Linked DNA regions of Rhinolophus ferrumequinum. The protein of the gene in region 1 interacts with the protein of each later gene in a pairwise test. Links are inferred from orthologs where the notes say so. Each region holds a gene or a part of one and is shown on either strand. Other genes may lie near its edges.

What was found.
Region 2: the proteins of RABAC1 (region 1) and RAB1A interact in a two-hybrid assay, tested with the Homo sapiens proteins (2 studies listed by BioGRID and IntAct). The link is inferred for Rhinolophus ferrumequinum from reciprocal best matches to the Homo sapiens genes RABAC1 and RAB1A.
Region 3: the proteins of RABAC1 (region 1) and MIEF2 interact in binary tests that used the Homo sapiens proteins (3 or more experiments, as listed by UniProt). The two-hybrid records come from large-scale screens. The link is inferred for Rhinolophus ferrumequinum from reciprocal best matches to the Homo sapiens genes RABAC1 and MIEF2.

The regions. Positions count from the first base shown.
Region 1 is NC_046298.1:39,928,395-39,935,861, forward strand, and holds RABAC1 (prenylated Rab acceptor protein 1), read right to left. Parts: upstream 3,054-7,467; 5' UTR 2,918-3,053; coding exon 2,862-2,917; intron 2,542-2,861; coding exon 2,329-2,541; intron 2,023-2,328; coding exon 1,925-2,022; intron 931-1,924; coding exon 829-930; intron 746-828; coding exon 657-745; 3' UTR 504-656; downstream 1-503. UniProt on the Homo sapiens protein: General Rab protein regulator required for vesicle formation from the Golgi complex. May control vesicle docking and fusion by mediating the action of Rab GTPases to the SNARE complexes.
Region 2 is NC_046296.1:24,938,346-24,946,360, reverse strand, and holds the start of RAB1A (ras-related protein Rab-1A), read right to left. Parts: upstream 3,069-8,015; 5' UTR 2,688-3,068; coding exon 2,665-2,687; intron 1-2,664. UniProt on the Homo sapiens protein: The small GTPases Rab are key regulators of intracellular membrane trafficking, from the formation of transport vesicles to their fusion with membranes.
Region 3 is NC_046304.1:608,636-615,960, reverse strand, and holds the start of MIEF2 (mitochondrial dynamics protein MID49), read left to right. Parts: upstream 1-4,257; 5' UTR 4,258-4,374; coding exon 4,375-4,418; intron 4,419-5,124; exon of another isoform or gene 5,125-5,250; intron 5,251-7,134; coding exon 7,135-7,291; intron 7,292-7,325. Other genes in the region: FLII (protein flightless-1 homolog), read right to left, coding at 1-34, 322-402, 1,602-1,673, 1,912-2,022, 3,764-3,826. UniProt on the Homo sapiens protein: Mitochondrial outer membrane protein involved in the regulation of mitochondrial organization.

The DNA of each region.
Region 1 (7,467 bases):
TGCTTTCCTCCTGGGAATCTGGAGTTTTGAGCCAAAGTAGATGGAGGGTACTTTTGCGGCTAACCCCCAATAAAAAGCCTGGGCACTGAATCTCTAATGAGCTTCCCTGGCAGACATTTCACACGTTGTCACAACTCACTGCTGGAGGACGTAAGCACGTCCTATGTGACTGCTGGGAGAGGACTCTGGAATGCTCATGCCTGACTTCCTCTTGATTTCCGATGTACCTTTTTCTCTTGCTGATTCTGCTTTGTATCCTTTCATAATAAAACACAGCTATGAGTCCAACTGTATACTGAGTCCTCTTAGCAAATCATCAAACAGGGGGCTGGCCCTGGGGACCCCTGGCACAGTTTCCTTCCACAACTCTTTTCTCCTCCTTGGCACTCACCACCATTGCCATCCTATTTTAGTTATTTAGTTACTGTCTTCCCCTCACCGTGTGTCCCCCTCTGTTCCAGTACCCCAGCATTACCCCGCACAGACCCACAGATCCTGGGAGCTTATGTGCTGAATGACAACTACAACAGCTTTATTTCCAAAGCTGGTTCCCTCCCTGGACTTGTGATGGGAAGAGGGCTGTTGGTTGGAGCAGCAGAGCCGTGCGGGACAGGGGTGAACAGGGATGGGGCAGCTGGCTCGGGAGGCTGGACACCTCACACCGGCTCCATCTGCAGCTCTTCCCCGTCCACGGCCTCGATCTGGTGGAAGGCGGCATGGGAGCCAATGACCACGAGGGTGGCTCCTGCAAGAAAATGGACAGTTCAGGGCCTTGCTCCCTCACCTGGCCCCCACCACCCACCCCCGCTACCCAGCCCCTGTACTCACCCAGGACCCAGAAGACAGCAGAACCTGCACCAGCCAGCCAGAAGAAGGGAAAGGAGACGGACCCAGCAAGCGCATACTGATGGGCAGGGCTCACCTCTCGGCCTGGGGGCAGACAGCGTGGGGCAGTTGTTGACACGTGTGTCCTCTCCCAGAGTAATCCCGGATGCCCCCAACAGTCTGATGTCACAAGCTTTTGGGAGCTTTAGGATCATCCAAACTCATGCCAAGGTCCTCCAAGTCCTGGCCCCACCCATTTCTCCAATGTCCCCACGGTCCGCCAGGAGTCTCAGACTGGTGGCCCAAGGCCAAGTCTGACCTGTGGAAGTTTTTTTTTAAGTCTGTACAATATTCCCCAAGAATGTGATTAGTGGCTAACAGAGAAACTGAATGATTTCACCTAACAATAGATTTCTGGTTTCTTGTGGCAGAGTAAAATTGGGTCTGCAGGCCCGAGGGGGCTGCAGCGGCTGAAGCCAGGTAGTGACTGTGCTTGAGGAGCTCCCTCCATGCCCTGTGCTTGCCCACCAGGCCTGTCCACCAGCCTATCTCTGTCATGTACGTAACTTGCAGGCCGTTGAAGGACTGTATCAGGACTACCTGCTTATCTGATCCCAATTCCTCCCTGTCCTCACTCCAAACATTGAGCTTGCTCTAGGTGGGGAATGTTTGGTGCCAGTCTGGGACCATATGGGCCACAGGCCTCAGCTTCCCTCTGTGAGAAGTCCCAAGATCTTTCTGGTCCCACCCAGGAAGCAGGACAGAGGCGTGGGACAGATCTGGGCCAGTGTAAGATCGCCACCTGCTGTCTACTATGGATACCTGCAGCTGACGCTTTCTGTACAAGTCAGGGAGAGAGGGGAGGAGTAGATTTAAGGGACAGCATCCAGGAGGAGAATGAGCCCCGGGGGCTCTCATTCTAGGTTTGGGGAATAGCAATTTGGGTGGCTGAGGCTGGGTGGCATTATCTGGCGCATGTGAGATTTTAAGGGACCAAGTTTGGGGGTTTAGGAAGACTTAGGTGTGGGATGTAAGGCTTTTGTTCCAAGAGACCAGAATTTGAAGGATCACGGATGCATCTGGGCAGGGGATTTCTCACCAAAGAGCACAAACTTCGACTGCAACGTGCGCAGATAGAGGATGTAACAGGCACCAAAGAAGACGGCCAGAGCCACCAGCAGCATGGGGGACGTCATCCTGGAAGAGGGCAGGGAAGCATTCGTCAGGCAGCTGCGGCTGGCACTGCCAGGGGGACAGACCCTGAACTTCTACACCGGCGGATGACAGGCTATGTATGTCCTTGAGACCAGGCAAGTTCAGGTGACATTTGGTCACACTGGGTCCTGCTCAAGCTGATGGGGGAGACCTGGCCCTTCGGGGAGTCTGGCAGAGCTATCCCATGGGGACGGTGCCTGGCCAGGGAGAGAAGGGGCTGGCCGCTGAGGGCGGGGCCGACCAGTGCCACTTGGTTGGGGCGGGGGCGGGCGGAGAGGCGGCACTCACACGCAGTACAGGATGAGGCCCAGGAACACGAACACATAGTTGCTCTGGTAGTACTCCACGTTGCGTACAAGGCGCTGACACAGCTCGCCCAGGTTGCGGGGCCTCGAGAAGCGCCGCTGGTCCACGAAGGTGCCCCAGGGCCGGATGGTCGCGCGGTGCCGCTCCAGCCACTCACGGCCCGCGCCGGATGGGATCAGTTTCGGCAGCAGGGTCCTGGTGGGCGGGGCCAGGTCAGCGGTAGATCAAGACCGAGGCGGGGCCTCCAGCAAGAGCGGGGATGCAGGAACCCAAACCCCGGGGTTCTGCGGGTGTGCAGGATGGGGGGGACGGGGGAGGGAGGGGTAAGGGTCTGAGGCTCCTGGATCCCAGGGGAAGAGGGGGCCGAGGGCCCAGGCTCCAGAGTCCTCGAAGAGGAAGCCAGGGGCCTAGACTCTAGTCTCTGGGGATCCAGATTCCTGGGACCCGAGGGAGAAGGGGGCAGAGGACCAGAACTGCCGGGTCTCAGTCCTGGGAGCTAGAGTAGGCTTGCTTACGTGGCGCTCAGCCCTTCCGCCTCGGCATCCTTCTGTTGGTCCTTCTCCGCCGCCATGTCTGCGTCGTGAGGGGTAGAACAGCTGTAACGAGCCCTGAGCCCCTCAGACCCCTCGGGACCCGCAAGAGCTGGGCCGCAACCAGCTCAGCGGACGTGGCGCCTTTCGGAAGCCGTGGGGGGCGGGAGTTCTGTCGCGGAGCACTGTGGGAGTTGTAGTCCTGATGCTGTCGGGAAGGGTGGGCGCCATGATGGTGGTCTGGCTAGCAAAACACATTCGGGAAATGTAGTCACATAAAGCGACAATGAGCGCCTCTGGGTATTGTGGGAGTTGTAGTTTCAGTAGCCGGGCGTGTGGCGTCGCGGAAGGTGGGTTGTCACGAGTGGGCTTTATAGGAGCTCTAAAGGCGAAAGCAAGTGTTAGGTATTCTCTCTTGTGCAGTGTACAATGGGGACCGTGTAGAGCTGTCCTTCGGGCTCTAGAGGGCATAAGAAACACCTGGAGAGCTTGATAAAACACTAGATAAAAATTCTGATTTAGCAGATATGGGGTGGGGCCCATTTATGGATAGGCATTTTTTTTAATTGGAGAAGGGGAATAGGACTTTATTGGGGAACAGTGTGTACTTCCAGGACTTTATCCAAGTCAAGTTGTTGTCCTTTCAGTCTTACTTGTGGAGGACGCAGCTCAGCTCCAGGTCCAGTTGCCATTGCTAGTTGCAGGGGGCGCAGCCCACCATCCCCTGTAGAAGTTGAACCTGCAACCTTGTGGTTGAGAGGACGCGCTCCAAACAACTGAGCCATCCGGGAGCTCAGCGGCAGCTCAGCTAAAGGTGCTGTGTTCAATCCTAGTTGCAGGGGGTGGAGCCCACCATCCCTTGCGGGACTCCAGGAGTTGAACCAGCAACCTTGTGGTTGAGAGCCCACTGGCCCATGTGGGAATACAACCGGCAGCCTTCGGAGTTAGGAGCATGGAGCTCTAACTGCCTGAGCCACCGGGCCGGCCCCTAGATAGGCATTTTTAATAAGTACCTAGGTGATGCTGCTGCTGCTGGTGTATGGACCATATTTTGAATAGTGAGACTCTAGAGAATTCGTGGGAATCTATTCCTTCCTCAAGAGACAGGCTAGCGAGAGGGCCATGGTTGCTGCAAAGCTCCCTGCTCAATCCTTGGGCTCTCAGGGATAAATGGTTTAGGACTAGAAACCTAGAGACACCCTTCCCCTTCCCCTTGGATGGGAAGAAGGGAAGTTGGGAAAGGAAAAGGGTTGAGGACATTTAAAAGAGAATTTTTTAATGAAAATCCAGGCTGTGTTGACCTTGTCACCTCCCTGAACCTCAGTGTCTTCATCTAGACAGTGAGGATCCTGATGGTACCACACTCGAGGTGTTAGGACGATTCAGTTACATGGTCCCAGTAAAGTGCTTGAAAGAGTCTCGATACTTTGCAACTGCTCGATAAATGGGAGTGGGTGTTATTGCTACTATATTATCATGAATGTTACGACTATTTCAGAGTTCAGCCTTCTCGAGTTTAACAGTAATGTATTAGGGGCTGTTGGCCTGTATCAGGGAATGCCCCAGAGTGGCTGGCATCTCAGGCCGGGGCCTTTCTTTTCCCTAGTTCCCACAGCACTGGTTTTTCCGTCTTTGCCCCTGCCCTTGCCACCGAGTTGCAGGAAAATGACTGGCATTCTAAAGGGGTGCACAGAAAATCCTCAAGAATGTGTGTGGCAGTGTTGGGAAGCCTGTGCTCCCTTTCATGGACCGAGGGCCTAATTTTCCAAGGCTGGGTTGGGCTGAAGAAGAAGTCCCACATGGGATATCCAGGCAACCCTTAACCCCAGTTTTTGTCTTCCAAGGTTCACATCCCTTTTAGATTTGGGCTTTGAGGCCTGCGACATTCCCAGGAGGTGGGGTAGGTGGCCCCTGCTAAAAGGGCTGGTGGAGCAATAAGCAGGGAGGACCCTTGGGAAGTCCCAAGCTGAAGCTGAATGAACTACACTTTGAAGATCAGTTGGCTCATTACTGTTTATTTCCCGTTTGTCAGACACAGACTTTTAATAGTCTTGTTCAGGTTTCCCACTTGGGTCCAGCTTGGCTTCAGGAAATAAATGGCGGATGGCGAGTGCACACTTAGCTCAGAGCATTAATGGGGGAGCAGCACCTGAGTTCAGAGGTCACCAGTGAAAGAGCCCCCAAGAAGAAGATGAATCTTGGGGAGCAGAGAGTTGAAGGCACAGGTCCAGCTGCTTCCTCCCATGGCCAACCTTGGGAAAGTTGGGTTTGATTTTTGTTATGAGAGCTATTGGATTTCCTTATAGGAACTCAGTGAAAATGGTTGTACTCCATACCCCACCAGTACTTGCTCTGAGCAGAGGACATAATGGGCAAAGGTCTGGAGGTGTCGAACAGCATGGGCCATGGATGGTGGGGTCCAGAGGCAAGGACATTGTGGGAGGGGCCCCCTGAGTGGAGTATGGAGGGAACTTTAAATCAGGGGATTTGGAGAGTTGGGGCCTTGTCCCACAGACAATGTGGGAGAGAAGCCCTTGAAACAGGGATTGTGGAAGAAGGGGCCCTAAGGTAGAGATATTGTGAGATATGGGAGGATCCCTCAGACAAGAGGCTGGTGGGAGATGGGGTCCGTGAGAGAGGGGACCTGTGACAGGTGGGCCTGAACCAGGGGGAAGATGGGAGGTAAGGGGGTACCGGAGAAAACTATGAGAGATGGGCCCCGGCCCTGTAGTCCCTCCAGCCTGAGGCCTCCTTCCTATCTCTTGGATCACCAGAGGAAGAAGAGCTGGGAGGAGAAGAAGACCCTAGCATAGACAACCAGAAACCTGGGTTATATCCTTGCTGTGTGACCTCAAGGAAGTCCCTGCCTTCTCTGGGCCACTGATTGCCCACTTGTCTATGGGAGCATTTCTTACCCTGTACCCTATGAATAGTTTCTGAGGCCTCCCTTGAAGAGGTCCAGGCTCACATAACCCCTACCAGGACCAGGCAGGCTGTGTCCTGGGCATCATGAGTAGTGCCTGGCACACATGCCCCTGCCCTTTGACTAACTGCCCCCTCAGGTTCAGGCACTCCTCCTCCAGCCATTGTCTTGTGCAGTGGACGTGTGTACACACTCACCCACACTTGTGAGCTCTCGGGATGCCAGCCCCAGCCCCTCCTGACTCTCACCTCTGGGCTGTATTAACAAGGCTGCCTCAAGGGAAGTGGTGTAGCTACCCAACCAGAATGGCTAAAATTCAAAAGTCTGACAATATTGAATGTTGATAAGGAAGTGGAGCAACTGGAACTTTCTTTCATGCAGTGTGGGAATGCAGAAGGATACAGCATCTTTGGAAAGGGTCTAGCTATTTCTGTTAAACATAGTCCATCCCAAAACCAGCAACCCCACTCCTAGGCATGTATCCAACAGAGATGCATACATCTGTCATTACTAGAATGTTCCTATTCCGAGCAGCACCAATTGTAATAGCCCCCAAAGTGCAAACAAGTGAAATGTCTATCAACGGGAGAATGGATGAAGAAATTATGTTATAGCCACACACAGCAATGAAAATGAGTGGGCTACATACATGTGACAGCTACATACATGGGTGTTTGTCACAAACGCGATGTTGAGAACGAGAAGTCAGACACGAGACAACATGCTGTAAGTTTTCATTTATACAAAGTCCAAGAACAGGCACAGCTAAAGGATGGTGACACACATCAGATCAGCTGTGGCTTTTGGGGGGGGTGGCGCTGACTAGAAAGAGGCATAAGGGAACCTTCTGGGTGGATGGAAATGCTCTATATTGATCTGGGTGGTGGTTACACGGTACGCCTTTGAGATTTGTGCACTTCCTGGTATGAAAGTTTATCTCAATAAAAAGAGAAAATTGCACAGTGACTTAGAACTTGGACAGCCAGGTACAAATCCCAGATTTGTCGCCTCTCAGCTGTGTGAATTTGAGCAAGTCACTTTCCCTCTCTGTGCCTCCCAACCGTGAGGATTACATGAGCTGATACACACAGAGGGCTTAGAAGAGGGCAGGGCACAGAACGGACGGTTCAGTCGCCACTGTCACCATCATCACGGTCGGCACTGTCATCACCCCCCCATGCTCCTTCTCCTCCTCCAATATGCGAGCATCACGAGTCTGAGTCCCTTCCTCTCCTCTCTTCTGATCCCATGATCCTATCGCCTGGTGAATTCAAGCTGTTCTCACTCTTAACTAACTTTGGTTTGGTCTAAAACGCCATGATTTCATGACCCCGAGACTTCCAGGCTGGTGCTGGCGAAATTCCTGGTTGGGCAAATCCCCGAGCTCCATGTACCAGCACAGGGAGACCACCCCACCCACACCTCCGGCCCAGAAAGCAAGCACAACACACACACCGCTTCTCTCTCCCCACTGATATATTTGATAATTGTCCAGAACCAGAGATGGCATCAGCCGGGGTAGGGGGAGGTCGATGGGGAGTAAAAAAGAGCCCAGGGAGGGGACTCGGAGGTAGGGGTGAGGAGAGGGAAAGGAACAGAGTCACAGAAAAGAGAGGAGAAAGGCAGAGGCAGGGGGCGGGGAGAGAAGCTAGCCAGGGGAGGAGACGG
Region 2 (8,015 bases), on another chromosome or scaffold:
AACAAATTTCATTCAAGAAAAAAAGCAGCTGCTGAAGTCAGATTGCTAAAAATCTTTTTGCTCGTAGCTCTTGCGACCTTCCCCAATAAAATATCCATAATTTTATCTAACCTCGTTATTTTCACTAATACTTTTCCAAAGTTTTCCCGAACTTTTATATTATTTTACTAGACACAATATAAAATATATAGTAGGCCAGGTACTGGCATATTCAATGACAGAAAAAATGTAAACATGATTTCAGGGTTTGATTCTGTTGAGGTCATTCATCTAGAGCAGGGGTGTGCAAACTTTTTTCAACTGTTTTCACCAAGGGCCAATGCGGTAAAATACACAGACAGCCGGGCCACTCACTCGAGGTGAAGTACGTATTGCCTCACCTGGTTTATTTAAGCAAACTAAATATATTTTTGTATTTGCTGCGGGCCAATTAACAAATGGATCCCAGGCCACAGTTGGCCTGCGGGCCGCAGTTTGGACACCCCTGATCTAGAGTATTCAAAGGAAAGGATGATTTGGCACTGTATTTATTTACTTAAGAATTACAATACTTGCCACTTATTAACCATTCTTCCTTCCTCCCCCTTGAAAAATGTTCCTCATTCCCTTCTGCTTCTCCAAATCTACTGCTAATAATTCCCTAACAGGTTTTTCTGTAAAGCCTTCCTGAACTCAGCTAGCCAACCACAACCCACTACCCTCCTTTGAAATCTTACTGCTCCAAACCATGCCACACATCTGGAACTTGCTGTATCTACTGGTATTTAACACACACACAATCTATTTTTCATATTCCATTATAAATTCCTGGAGGATAAGGATTATTATTCCTAAATCCTAGCACTACTAGAATATCTTACATGTAATGAATGTACACCACCTAGGCTGTTCTTACAGTTTTCCAAATTCTTTCACACACACTTGAACCTCACAACTACCCTGACAGGAATAATGACTCCTATCACCTTATTTTACAAAAGGAGAAACAACTTCAGAGGCTACATAATGTCACGGTTCTGCTCAACTAATTTTCAAGGTCTATTTACAGTACTAAATATATGTAGCAAATATAAGAAACTTCCTAACAAAGGTGGTTTACAAATCCTCAGACAGTGGCAATTTCATGTACTTTATTGTTGCCAGGAAAACTACTCCATTAGGGACTTCTAGTTCAACTCTGTCCAACTAAGCAAAACCAATTTTGTCCTTGGAGCCCTTCATAAAGAAATTAAAAAGTTTTAATTTGCCAACATAGCAAATGGCACTATTAGAACACTATCCTCAACTTAAAGTTGATGAAATTTTAACAAAAACTATAGCTTCTGTTTAATACAAAAAGGGGACATGTCAGCATCAAACCACAGTATTACAAAACTTGAAGTCAGAATGCATTTTGCAAGAGCCATGTGACACACACATGAGACAGTCAGCTAAACTGATGGATGACCCTTTTAGGGAAAATGTTTAACAGTAATTGACCAAAGCAAGCAAATAAACTCAACTTTTAGAATAAATCCTGACTTTTGCTTTAAAAAAATTTCACCCTCTCCTCCAAAGCCTTCTGACACGGAAGAGGAATACCAACTAAATCTCCTCTGATTAGTCATTAATTTATATATGCAAACTGTTGGAGGATTTTTTTTTTTAGGCCCTTAAGGAGAGCCCAACAAAGTCTTCCCAAGGAAAGTGAACACCAGTTCCCAGGAAAAGTGCCAGGTGTGTCACATCTGCTGTGGTGACTTCTTGAGTAAGCAAGAAAAAGAAATGCATTAACTTTTCATGACACGTCATGGAACCTCATTCCCTATCTGCAAACATTCAAGTAGGTAATACAAAACCTACAGATCTATCATAGGGCCCATTCGTTTCTCTTTCAACCTGACAGCAAAGGCTTTCTTTAATTTGGTAATATCAAGAAAGACGTTCCTACGTTTTTAATCATGTTTTTCCTTGACCTACACAAAACAAAATGACTTTAGTGTCCTCTAAAAAAAAAAAAATTCTCCCAAATGCCCAGGTTTTTAGGAAGGCAGTGGGCCCGGCGAGTTCTTAAAAGAACTCCAGGAAATAACTAACACAGAGAACTAAAAATTTTAAATCACTTCTCACCATCTACTCTTTCCCTTCAATCCCACGCAGTCCTGAAAAGCATCCATATTACCTGCAACCTGGCGGGGAGGGTGGAAGGAGAGAGAGCCAACAAGCTCAAGATTTACAAGTAAAGCTGGTTTCCACCCAGACGATTCTGACAGCTCCGCAGAGTAGGGGCCGGCGCAGGGTCTGACAGTGCCCTCTAGGAGAGCTCTCCCCCCATCGTCTCCCCTTAAAAACAAGTCCTCCTTCAAAAGTCACTGCCTCCAGGAGAAGCTACCCGTTCCCACCGCCCCACCCCCCGCAGCAGACTGTGCCTCCGCATCAGCCCGGCCCTCAGGCCCTCCACCCGGACCTGGTCCAGGCCCGGCTGGCTCATCCCTCCGGCCGGACCCCTCCCCGAGGCCGCCCCTCCTTCGTCAGATAATGGGGCCCGACTCCCGTCCGCCTGCCTCTCCTGCCCCATCACCTTCACCTCACCCCGGCCGAGGCCCATCCCTGCCCTCCTCGCCCCCTTTAAGCTTTCCCAAGCTGGCCCACGGACCCAGCCGACCGGTGTTCTCCTGCACTTACTATTCAGGATTCATGCTGGACATGTCACTGCAGCTGCCGCCGCCGCCACCGCCGCCCTTGCTGCTGCAGCCGCCGCCCTGACTCTCCGCGCCACGGGTAATCGAAGGAGAGGAATGATAGGCTGTTCCGGGAGAGCAAACGTCTTCCCCTATTCCGTCCCCTTAGAACACAATCAGCAGCCGCCGCCACTCAGCTATCGCTTCCACCCAAAATGGCCGCCGACGAACCAGGAAATAGGGAAGCCTTAGACCGAGGGGCCTTTACACAGCCCAGAGGGCGGACGCACCGCGTGGCATGCCGGGAAAGAGAGTTGCTAGAGCGCATGTAAGCGCTGGGAACTGACGGTGCGGAGCGGAGGCCAGGACTCAACTTCCCGCCAAGCCCCGCGCCTCTGGTGCATGCGTACTTGAGGGGTTGTCGCCCTCCCCATTCCCCACTCTCTCACCGCCCTACTCCGCCCCTCCCTGTTCCCCTCCCGCTGACTCGCTGGCTAGGACTTCGCTCGGACTCCCCCTAGCGGATTGGCTAAGGCCGAGCGGCCCTGGTGATGTCATCAGTGAGACGTGGCAGCCGGGCGAGTCAGCACCCCAAGGGGGAGGGGGAGGAAAGGGGCTGGAGGCGGTGCTGGCTGCAGATGGAGGATGGGGGTTGGGGAGATCAGGGGACTCGGATGGGCGAGGAGAGAGAGGTCGGAACCCGAAGAAACGCCGGAATATGGAGGCGGGGAAGGAAGGGGTGCTGGAGGACACTCCGGGGTGGTCCTGCCTCCCGTGCGCCTTTTGCTGGCCTGACCAGCTTGAGGCTTGAGCTTTTCGGCTGATCCCAGGACGTCCGCTCTAAGGACGGAAGAGGAGTCAGGGAGTCCCTGCTGAAAACTTCGGATCTCGAAAACACAAAACCGTTCTTTCAGTTTTCTTCTTCACTCAGCTAACCCCACTGAGTCCGGTCATCTTCCAGTGCTGGCCGCAGGCACTACCATTTTCTTTTTTGATTTCTTACCATTCCCTTTCAGCCTTTCTCTGATCTCCGCAGCTTAGATACTGCAGTAGCCTCGGAGTGGACTAACTGCCTTTATCTCTTCTCTGTTTCAGGCCATTTGCACACATAGCCAGATTTATCTTCCTGGAATTGCACTTCCATCACTACCGCACAACTTTTAGTGGCTCCACATTCTGTGAACGGGTCACAGCCCAGAGTCAACCAAACATTCAAGGTGTTCCCTGGTCTCAGCCTTCAAGTTGAATTGTAGTTATTTTTAGTTGTTGAATGCTGAGCTGTTCTGCAAGATTGGAAAGTAATAAGCTATATAAACCTGCAGTTCATCACTATATAATACCTAGAAACGGAGTAATAGTAACACTTTTTTTTTTTACATGAGAGTTATTCTTAACAACTCTCTTTAATCAACTCAGGAATTTCAATCTCCACTAAACTTTAACACATTATCTTGGGTTATTTAATTACAAAGGGCATAGTATAATACATTGTTCAAAGTTTATCTTCCAACTTGTCTAAGAACCAGGAAAAGTATCCCCCAAGAGTGATTGCAAAATCACTAAATTTCCATGACACCAAGTGATGGAAAGAAGGCAGTTCTTATTACTACCCATTTTCTAGTAACTACACTCCTTATCTCCTAAATTCCACCACGTGCCTCAGTTGACAACCTCATCAAACAGTACACTAGAATTCTTTCACCTCATTATTGGCTCCTGAATTGAATATGGTCACCATACCAGAAGTATCCTGAAAGAATCAACATCAAAGTGTTTATTACCCGAAACTCTTGTCCTTACCTGCTTATTGTAATTTCACGGAAGGACAACTCAGAAAATCTCTGAAGAACTCATCCTGAGCCAAAAATACAATTTTTAACCTTCCCCTCTCCTTGGAGGTACACCCCTAAATTTCCTTGAATTGTCTATTTCCTTTCTCAATGAAAAATACCTCCTAATAATTTCTAACCTAAGTGAGAGAGTAGTTGTAAGAAAAATACAATATAGTACAATGACTGGGGGCACCTGGTAAATGTTAATTACCTTTCTTCTTCCCTTAACTTTCCTGAAACTTTTAAGTGTACTTGCTGTATACCAAGGACAGAATGCCTCATATCTTATAGTGTTGTAATATGCAAGGAGATCAGATGCAGCTTAGCTTTGGAGTGGTGGCTAGTTGTTTCCTACATCCTACTGCAACTTACATGTCATTTACATTAAGATGTCCTTGCCAACTTAAAGTCTCAGTTTTTCTGATTCAGACAGTGTATTTTGTGTAGGTGTTTAAAAGCAGCTACTTTTATAGTTCAGATTAGTAACTCAGAATGATTCATTAAACTAGCAAGAGCCCTATTAGTTGAACTCTCCTAGGGCTGTTTGTCCATTTGTTCTTTGGGTCATTCTTTTCTTCCTTTTTTTCTTCTTTCTTTTTCCTTTTTTTCCCCCCCTTTTCTTTTTATCAAATATTTATGACCTGGCATGTAATAAATGTGTTTGGAACTTGTGCTTGGAACCATGAGGAATACAAAGGTGAATAATTACAGCTCTCTGCAAGAAGATTACAGCCCAGTGAGAGAAAGATGTACACACAAACAAGGCCTACAGGGGAAAATGCAAAAATAAGTTAAAATAATATGAGGTGTATAGGGACAGAAATCAGATCAGTGATTGCCAGGAACTAGGAGTGGGAGGAGGGAATTACCTACAAAGAGCCAGAAGAGAACTTTTTTGTTTGATGGGAATACAGTAGTTATACACGAATTTTCCACTGCACGGAAGGTCAGCGCCCCTGACCTCTGCGTTTTTCAAGGATCAGCTGTAATCTGTATCTTCACTGTGGTGATGGTTAGTTTCTCAATTGTATATACTTGTCAGGACTCAAAGAACTATATACCTAAAAGGGTGAATCTGGGGCAGCTGGTAGCTCTGTTGGTTAGAGCGTGGTGCTAATAATACCAAGGTTGCTGGTTCGTTCCCCGCAGGGGCCACTGTGAGCTGCGCCCTCCTTAATAAATAAATAAATAAATAAATAAATAAATAAATAAATAAATAAATAAATAAAATATTTAAAATAATTAAAGGGTGAATCTAACTGTATATAAATTATACCTGAATTATGAACCTGACATTCAAAAAATGATATGAGGTAGAAGTACAAAGGAGGAAAACAATTCCAACTCAAACTATTGGGAATATTCTCCTGAAGGAAACGCTATTTGAATGAGGCCCTGAAGACGTTTAAAATTTTGACCTTTGGCAGAAATGGGGACAAGGGAGTCATTTATCCTAGAATGACAAAAGAATGTGAGCATAACCCTAGAAGTAGGAAGATACACCTGTGTTTAAAGACTAGTTCCATGGAAGACGCAGTGGGAGACATTGAGGTGAAGGTGAGATCATGGGAGCCCCCAAATGCCTGCTAAGGAGTTTCAGCTTTATTCAGTAGGCAATAGAAAGTCAAGAAAATTTCGGAGAAGGAAAGTGAGGTGATCAGCTCAGTGTTTTAAAAGGAGCACTTCAGAGTTCTGTAGAGACTGGAGATGGGGCGATTAGTTAAACGGTAATTAGAGTCATTTAGCAAGAGATGATGTGTGCTGACCTAGGGCAATTGCCTCAAGAATGGAAAGGCGAGGAGATTCCAGAGAGAACACAGAATCTGAAGGTGTGGAGAGAAAGGAGGAGCTAAAAGTGACCCAGATGTAGCCAGTTTACCTGCCAGCAAGGGGACTAAGGCCCCTACCAAGTCAGAGAGCAGGGGAGGAGGGGCTTGGAGTGGGGTAAAGAAGGAGGAAGATAGGGGTAGCACTATGCAGTTCGAGGTTGGGGTTAAAGCTGCCCTGGTGTGGAAGTACTAGACCACAGTTACACAGCACTTAGTGAAGGGATATGTTCTGCGAAGTGTATCTTCAGGCGATTTCCTCGTCGTGTGAACATCAGTGTGTACTTACACCAACCTGGATGGTATGGCCTATTGTTCCCTGGCTACACGCCTGAACAAATGTTACTATACAAAAAAACACGATTAAATCAAGCACAAGAGAAAATGATGTCTCAAGCAAGAGACACGGTAAACCAGAGATGTATGAGTATGAGGCTGCTGTCGGCATAACATGGCATACTGTCATAACAAACTTTTTCTTTTACAAGTAGATAGAGTACAATCCAAAATAACAATAAAACGTACAGTATAGTAAATACAGAAGCCAGCAAGTCATTTATTATCATTACCAAGTTTCACTGTACAAAATTGTATGCGCTACACTTTTATACAACTGGCAGTATATTAGATTTGTTTACACCAGCATCACCATAAGCACGTGAGAAATGTGTTACACTACGACTTTACGATGGCTACAGCATCACTAGGTGATAGGAATTTTTCAGCTCCATTATAATCTTATGGGACCACCATCGTATATGTGGTCCATTGCTGACAGAAACGTCATCATGTGGCACATGACTATACCAGAAATTGTCCCCTCTTCTGAATCAACACACACACACATACACACACACAGTCAAAGATAGAGAAAGCCAGACATAGTTAAAGCAGTAAGAATCGACTTTATTCAGTAATAGCAATAGGGAAAAGGGCCCTGTGTGAAGTAAATGTCACTAAAACAAAAAATAGACTTTTTAAAAGCTGCGATGTGCTAAGGAAAAGGCATGGATGGGTGTTAAGAGGGGTGGTCCATGTGACTAGGCCATCTGGGTTTGTTAATTGGCATTTACCTGGAAGACAAACTTCTTGCATCCTTACGATAGGAAGCAGTGGTGCAGGAGAGAGCACTGGGCTGGGAGTGAGGGAATGTTTGCATTTCAGAGACAGGAAGCAAGAAAAGATTTATAATTGCAAGCTTTCTAAAGTAACTGCTCTAAGAAGGGGTTCTGGGGCCTAACTGCCTATAACCAGGTTTGGGCTGGAACAAACAGTAAATTCTCCAGGCAGCACTGAACTTGCTCATGCTAGCATTTTAAGGGGGCGAGGGTTATCCTAAGGATGTGGCCTTGAGATGTTAGAAACTATCCTGGTGTTGGTTCAAATGTCAAGTGTGTGGGTGGGTGAGTGGACAAAAATGTGCTGAGTCTGTAGTTTTTATTGGCCCAGGTTGAAACCTAGTTGAGAAGAAGGCTCAAAGGAGCCTGACCAGAGTTTGGTCAAGGAAAGAGTTTTTGTCAACTGTACTGTCAGACAGAACTCCGGATTTAAGATGTCCGATGATCGTGTGAGAAACATCCCTTCATTTCAATGGCTCCAAAGCACCACATTTAATCGACGTATAGTAGGCAGCCACGGTGAAAAGTCTCAGGGGAAATTGTGAAGTTGGACAATGTTTCCACTCCTGCTCTACCTAT
Region 3 (7,325 bases), on another chromosome or scaffold:
GCGGGCACTCTGTCAGCTGGTTGTAGCTCAAGTCCTGGGTAGGAGGGGTGAAGCCAGGTCAGAGGTGTCAGCGCTGGTGCCACCTTGCCAGTCCTCTGCCAGGCTGGGGCATCAGCCAGGGCATAGAGAGGGGAGCACATGAGGGGGTTCAGGGCCAAAGGGAGACAGCAGGACCCTGGGAGGAAGGGTGCCCAGGATAACGATGTGACTCCATGAGCAACCTTGGACAAGGCACTGTCTACTCTAAGCCTCAGTTTCCCCTTCTATAAAATGGGATAACAATGGCCCAGGGGCCATAATAGTGCATGAGTAACCACTGACCAGGACTGAGAGGTCATCCAGCTTGAAGATGTCATCGGGAACTCCAGAATTCTTCAGGCAGTTGGCTCGAGCCACAATGGCCTGGGGAAAAACTGTGTGAGTGCGTGATTCCTGGCTTCCGCCCCCAGGAGAAGCAGAGGGATCAGGGAGGGACATCTCCTTAGGAAGCTCACTGGAGGCCAGGCCTCAATGCTCTCCCATCCTAGTCTTTACACATAGTTCCTCCACCTGGTGAGCTCTTCCTAGCCTCCCTATGAGCTCCTGTTCACACCTCAAAGCCCAGATCAAATGTGCCCCACAGCCCAGCACAGGGTCCTCAGGGAACCTTTTCCGATTGAACAATCTCTCCTCAATTCCAGAGGGCAAGATGGGGATGTAGCTCTGAATCAGGTCTTCTAGAACAGAGAGGGTTGGCCCACAGGGAAATGAGAGTATGGGCTGAGCACGACTGTTTCCTCTCCTCTTAGAGCTGAAACCTCCTCATGCTACAGACCTCTAGAAAGTTCAAGGGGGAGAGAAGACAGGTTGGGTAATGGTGCCGGGATGGCAAATAACAGCAGGGTTCAGGGCAGCCGCTGCCTCTCCTTTGGCCCTAACGTCTGTGGTGCCACGCTGCTTCACAGCGGTCCCCCACTGAACCCTCCCCAGAAAGTAGAAGGGACTTGTCTGAGGTCATGCAGCCAGGAAGTGGCAGAGCTGGTGTGAACTCAGGCAGCCTGAATCCAGAGGCTGTGCCCTTAACATCTCAGGGCTCCAGCCATGGACAGGACGACCTTTGCTGAGGCCAGAAGGGTCTGGCCGAGAGCCGGGTGTTCTGGGATGTCAGAGGCTCTGTGAAAAGCAGAAGGGTGAGCAGGCACCCTGACTACCTCCCCTCCCGGCTAAACCCCATCCTACACCAGCTCTGCCAATGTGTGGCTGTGTGACCTCCGGCAAGTGACCTGCCTCTGCGGCCAAGTGTCCTCATCTGTGAAATTGGGAGAAGTCAGGATTGTAAGAAAAAACCCACGTGGAAATAGTCGGAGCAGTGCTTAGCCACTATTAGTTGTTGTTATTGTAGTTGTCCAAAAAGGGTGGGATTTTGGATTTTTTTACGTTTTGCCCCATGGGTTACTTAACACAGGGCATCATTATATCCTCTCCCCTTTAGGGACAGGCCCCTGGGCCTGACACAGGGATAGGCAGAGGTGCTAGTCCAGCTTGGGTCTGGCTCTGTCCTCACACCTCTGGCTGGACTCGAATCCCCACCTCCAAGCATGGTGGCCTCCAGCAGCACTCACCCGAAGCGATGGCAGACTGGACAGCTCCCCATGAAGCGTGGTCAGGTGGTTGTGGCTCACAGACAAGTGCTCCTGGGCCAGGACAAGGGAGCAGAGGCTCAGCGGAGGCCCCATCTGCCACCACAGTCTTGCACCATCCGGGGTGGCCCTCAGCCACACATGGCGCAGTCCACCCGTGCAGCCTCCCTCCCTCTCTGCCAGCTCTACTCGTGGTTATCAGCATCTTCCTCCGCGGCTTTCTGCACAGGCTCCGCCCACCTGGCCCAGCCCCACCCACAGGGACCCACCCTGCCTGCTGAAAGCCCCTTACCAGTTTCTGCAGAGCAGCCAATTCCTCTGGCAGGTAGCAGAGGCCAGTGCGGTTCAGCTTCAGCCATCGCAGACTGGTCATGGCCTTGACATTCTCAGGGAAGTAGCCTCCCTGGGGGGTATGCCATGGTGAGGCTGGTCTGGGACAGGAACGTCCCTGCTCTACCACCCTCTATCGTCCCCAACTGCCCATGGAAGCCTTTGGGGAGCAACAGAGCCAACTCTCACCAGCTGTGTGACCCTGGACAAATCATTTTGCCACTCTGTGCCTCCATTTCCTCATCCATAAAATAGGGCTAATAAAAGCCCTCTGAGGACAAAAGTGTTGTGAGGACCAAGTAGTTATCAGCATGGCTGTTGGCCTAAGATCTGTCTCTCTTGCTGGATTCTGAGTCCCAGGAGGGTCGGGATGAAACTGGCTTGTTCCAGGTAACACCTCCAGTGTCCAGCTGTGTGGCTCACATGCCTTTGCCCAGCATTCCAGGCTCTGCCTGGGCCACCAGAAGTGAGGGTACCCCCTGAGGCTGTGCCAAGGTCCCACCTGTGCCCCCACCCTGCCATCAGCATACAAGCCGTTTATGGCAAGGCCCAACCCCCGGTGCAAGGCCCCAGCTCCCCACCCTGCACAGGCACTGCCTTGTTCATTTGTTTACCCATTCATTCCCCACATTCAAATGCCCACCCCAGTACCCCCAGCCCTTGTGGCAGGGAGCCTGGGATAGCATGTGCCTTTAGTGCCCTTGGCTGTGTCCCCTTCCCCCTATAGCCACGTTCCCCGCCAGTGACTCAGACTCCGCGTCTGAAGAGGACACAAGGAGACCCCAGGTGAGATTAGTGCGAATGGAGGCATTGAAAGTGGTGTGGCCACCGGTGCATGGGGTCAAAGGTGTGTGCACATGTGGGTAAGTGCAGGAAGAACCAGCCTCCCCTCAGTCCTGGCCCCACGACCCCAGCCGAAGCCTGGGCTCCCTTACGCTAAACTGACTCGGGCCTGAGTCTGCCCACTCACCCACCCTGCAGCAGGGGCTGCCCCTCTTGGTACTACTCCAGGCAGCTCTCACCTCCACTCTTGCCCTGACTCCTCTGGTCACCGGCACTGCTCACCTCATCCTTGCCTCTAGAGCCACCTCGCCCACTAACTGGCTGGAAGGCTGGGCTCAGGCTCCTTGTGGCCCTGGTCTTGTCAGTCCATAAGCTGCTCAAACAACGGCTACCCAGGGCCTCGCACAAATGTCTGACACACTCTCCACACCAACTAATCCATGCTTCCAAGAGGACTACTTTTAAGCCCCTTTACTGGATGAGAAGACCGAGGCTGTGAGACAGGAAGTGATTTGCCCAAGACCACACAGGACGGGTATGGCGGTGGCAGGGACAAAGCAGTGGCCGTGAAGAGTTCCAGACCCGCCCGGGGACAGCCCAACAACCTGCAGCGCGACAGTGAGTCAGGGCCTGGCTTGGGCGTGTGACCTCAGCGGGACGGGGAAGGGGGGCTGGGGAGGTGGGAGCAGAGCTCAACGACCCCGCTCCACTCTCCGGCCCCGGCGGGGCCCAGATGCCAGGACGATGACACGGGGTGGGGGCTCTCAGCCCATCCCTAGCGTGACTCCGAACCCAAGCGTCCACGCCGGCCCGACCCGGCCTCGGTCTTCCCGTAAGGGCACCGAAAGGAGATCTTGGGGATCCGTTCCGGGCGGGGAACCCGAGCCCCGGGAGAGCCCCACCCGGCCCCGCCCGCAGTCCCGAGCGGTACTGGGCCCGGGGGCGGACGGGACAGGAAGCAGAGACCGGTGCGGGCTGGAGCGGAAGAGACGGCCTAGAGCGGGGCCCGGCCCGCCGCCGGGTCGCCTCACCTTGAAGTCGTTGCCGCTGAGGTCCACACCGCGCACGAACGGCAGCACTCCAGTGGCCTCCATGGCGCTGCTCTTGCTGCCGGGCCGGGCCAGACGCTGGGGGCGGCTGGGAGAGCCGCGGGCTGGGCCAGCGCCGACCCCGCCCCTTTAACTCGCCCCCGCCCGGGCCGGCGGGAAGGCGGAGTCAGGCCCCACCCCTCTAGCCCCGGCCCCCTCCCCTGGCGTCTTTAGGCCTCCCCGGGCCTCAGTTTCCCTGTCTGTCCGAGTACTGGAGGGACCTCGAGGAGTCCGGGCGTCCCGGTGCTCCCCGCAGGTGGCTTCATAACCTCCAGGCTAAGTCCGTGAGCCCCAGGGCCGGGGCTGTGTCACGGGCGCTGTCCGCTGCACTGCAGCCGCAACTGAAGTTGGCTGTGGCCGGGGAGGTTCTGGACCCAGGTCGGGGGGCGCAGAAGGCCCGGGAGTCTCTGTTCACCCCCTGGGCCCTGTGTGGCTACCAGCGGTAGTGGGACGCAGAGGCCCTAGCGTCCCGGAGCTGTGGGCAAGCCCAGACCTCCTCCTGGCCTGTTTCTCCTCATCTGTGAAGTGCTTCCTAAGGTTGTCGCCAGAAACAAATGAACAAACGCAGCTGCAGCTCACGGCATACAGAAAGCACTCGGTAAGTGGCGCGTTATTTCTGCTTAGAGTCAGCAGCCCCTCACGTCCATTCATTTGCTTGCTCGCTCCCCTTGACCCGCACATAGTCGCTCCCCAATAAACAAATGAACCACAGGTCATATGCACAACCATCCTTCGCAAGGGTGGAGGGGGCCTGGCGTTTCCATTTCACGGGAGAGAAAACTGAGGCTCGGGTGGAGAAGTGGCCGGCACAAGGTCACACGGAGCTGGTGGCAGGGGTAGTTCTGGGTCACGCTGTGTGCCCCGCAGGCCAACAGATAATAACGAGGCCACCAAGGCACTCTCGCAGAAGTGACCTAAAGGGTCAGACCTGCGCGCCTCTGGGCCAAGTGCCGACTGTCTGCCCTGCCCCTAGAAGGAACGGGGGCGCTGATAATTTTCTCCAAACCAGAAGCTCATATTACAATCACACACACGTCACAAGGGGCCCGGAAGGCCAGCCAGCTCATTCCGCAACCCCCGGCTGTGCCACCACACCGCTGGGCGGGAGGCTCGGAACACAACTCTGCGCCTTTAAATCCGGGATGCGTCAGAAAGTCCCACCTCCGCAGAGCGCGGAACGCGGTTAGGGGGCGTGGCCTGGTCACCATTGGCTGAACCGCATAGTATTTTGGAACGAGGGAGCGGGCCTTGAGCACTCCGATTGGGGCTAGGACCTGCTCGTCTGCTTGCGTTCCGGGGTCAGCGACCGCCCCCGGAGCCTTAGCGTTCGGTTCCCAGGTCCTTCCCATTCCATTCCCGGGCGGGTCGGGGTCCGGGGCCCAAGAAGACCCGCTACCTCCGACAGTTGGTGCGCTGAAGCAGCGACGCAGGTACGGCCCGAGCGGGGCGGCCCGGGTCACCCAGCCCCGGCGTGGAGAGTCGGGGGCGGGGCCACCGCTGCGGCCGGCGGTCACCGCCAGAGAAGGAGGGAATGGCTTTGGGCCCTCAGGCTGGAGTTCGAATCCCGTTTCGGGTACATCACTTAGTTTCTCAGGGCCTCGGTGAGGTCCCCTGTGAGCCGGGCCTTGACAGGTCTTCAGGGGCTGCTCCGCGGCCCGCTCAGCCCCCGTCCTGGGTTTGGCGGAGGAGGGGAGGACAAGCGGCATCCCAGGGCTCTACCCCGCCAGGCTGCGCAGTCAGGTTATTTTTAACCCCCGCGCCCTCCTCCCTTTCCTCGAGTGGGCAGGCTGCGTGTTGGGGCCTGCGCGACCCTGCCAGGGTTTGGGCTGAGTCCTAGCTTAGACAGGTGTGGGGTATTGAAAGCACTTTACTGTTTGCAAAGTGGCTTCCCCGTCCCTCTGGAGGCAGGTGGCCATACCGGTCACCTGTGAGAGAACTGACTGCTGTGCTGTAGTGGGCACCCTGCCAGCCTTTCACCAACCCAGGCCCCGGAGCCGGTTTTTATTTTTAGTCTGGGCGAATGGGGGGGCGGGGCGGGTGTTGTCCTGGCATCTCGTAACCTGGCAACAGCCCTAAGTGCCCACAGCCCCAGGCAGGGAGGGTGGAAGTCCTTGGTGCCCTAGCCGGCTCCGAGCTCAGGGTCATCTGCTCAGGTGTCCTCAGTGAGCCAGTGCTGCCTGGTGTCTGACTGGTCGGTCCCCTGAGCGTCCCTCTTGATCACACACTCTCAGCTCCCAGGGCCTGACGGCAGGAGTCCCCCTAGAGGAACCTGCCGCTGGGGCGTGGTGGATGGGGCCGTGGGAGAGGTCTCTGCCTCTGCCTCCCGAGTGCCTGACCCACCCAGCCCCACTGTTCTGGGCTCCTCTCCCTAACCCTGTCTGTGCCACTTTACAGGTGAGCAGATAGCTGAGGCTTCCGGCGCTCAGCTTACCTTCTCTGTTCTTTGGGCTCCGTGCAGCTGAGGGCAGCTCCCCACCTCCCCATTGTCCCAAGCCCAAGAGGCCAAGAGAGGTCCCTGGCCCCTGGGCCCGTCCTCTGCTTGGAGTCTTCGTGTTTACTTTGCCCTCTGTCCCCGCAGCGGGGCCTTTGGCTTTGACCAGCACATGTCCATTGACAGGCAGCTCGTGCGCGCTCCTCCCCCCACAGCCTGGGCCATCTCACTGGATAGCTCTGCCTCTGGCGGCTACCTTGTCAAGATTTGGGGGTGACTGGCCTCACTGAGGTCTGAGACGCGCTCCAGGGCAGGCTGTCTGGGACCCCACGTTGTGGTTTCTCTGGGCCTTGTTTCCTCCTGCTGTGCCAGGGGTGAGGAAGCAGGGTGAGGCAGCCTCTAGGACCTGACCGCAGACGGGGTCTGATGGGACTCGGGGGGTGGGCAAGAGTCTGGAGGCTTGGCGGTCGTGGATCCAAGAACCCACTACTTACGTATGGTTCAGCAGCCCGTTTCTCTGTAAAATTGGGGTGATGGTAAGACCTTCCTCATGAGTCTTTGGTGACATCAGGAGTCCTGGGTGGGAGGGTCAGGGAGATGGGCCCCCTTCTCTGACCTATCCAGGGCCTTTCTGTGTGAGCCCCCCTGTCCAGGGGGTGGGTGGGTTGTTGACAGGTTTGGGGAAGGGGGCTCAGGCAGTTCCCCATCTCCTCACAAGAAACCCCTTGAGTGGCCCCTTTCTTCTGAAACTCGGGAATCCACCTTGTGGGCTTGACTCAGAGACCCCAGCGTGATGGCAGCCAGAGTGCCTACCCACACCTGCCGCACTGCCAGCCTGGCTGCCCCCACACTCAGTGGTCCCTGCACCCTGGCTCTCTTACAGGCAGACAGACATGGTACTGTTCTTCCAGAAGCGGGGGAAGCGGCATGACGACGACGTGCTGGGCAATGCTGTGGACTTCCTCCTGGCCAATGCCCGCCTGGTGCTGGGCGTGGGCGGGGCTGCCGTGCTGGGTATTGCCACCCTGGCTGTGAAGCGGGTAAGGCCTGGGGCTCACAGGGGAGGATGCCAGG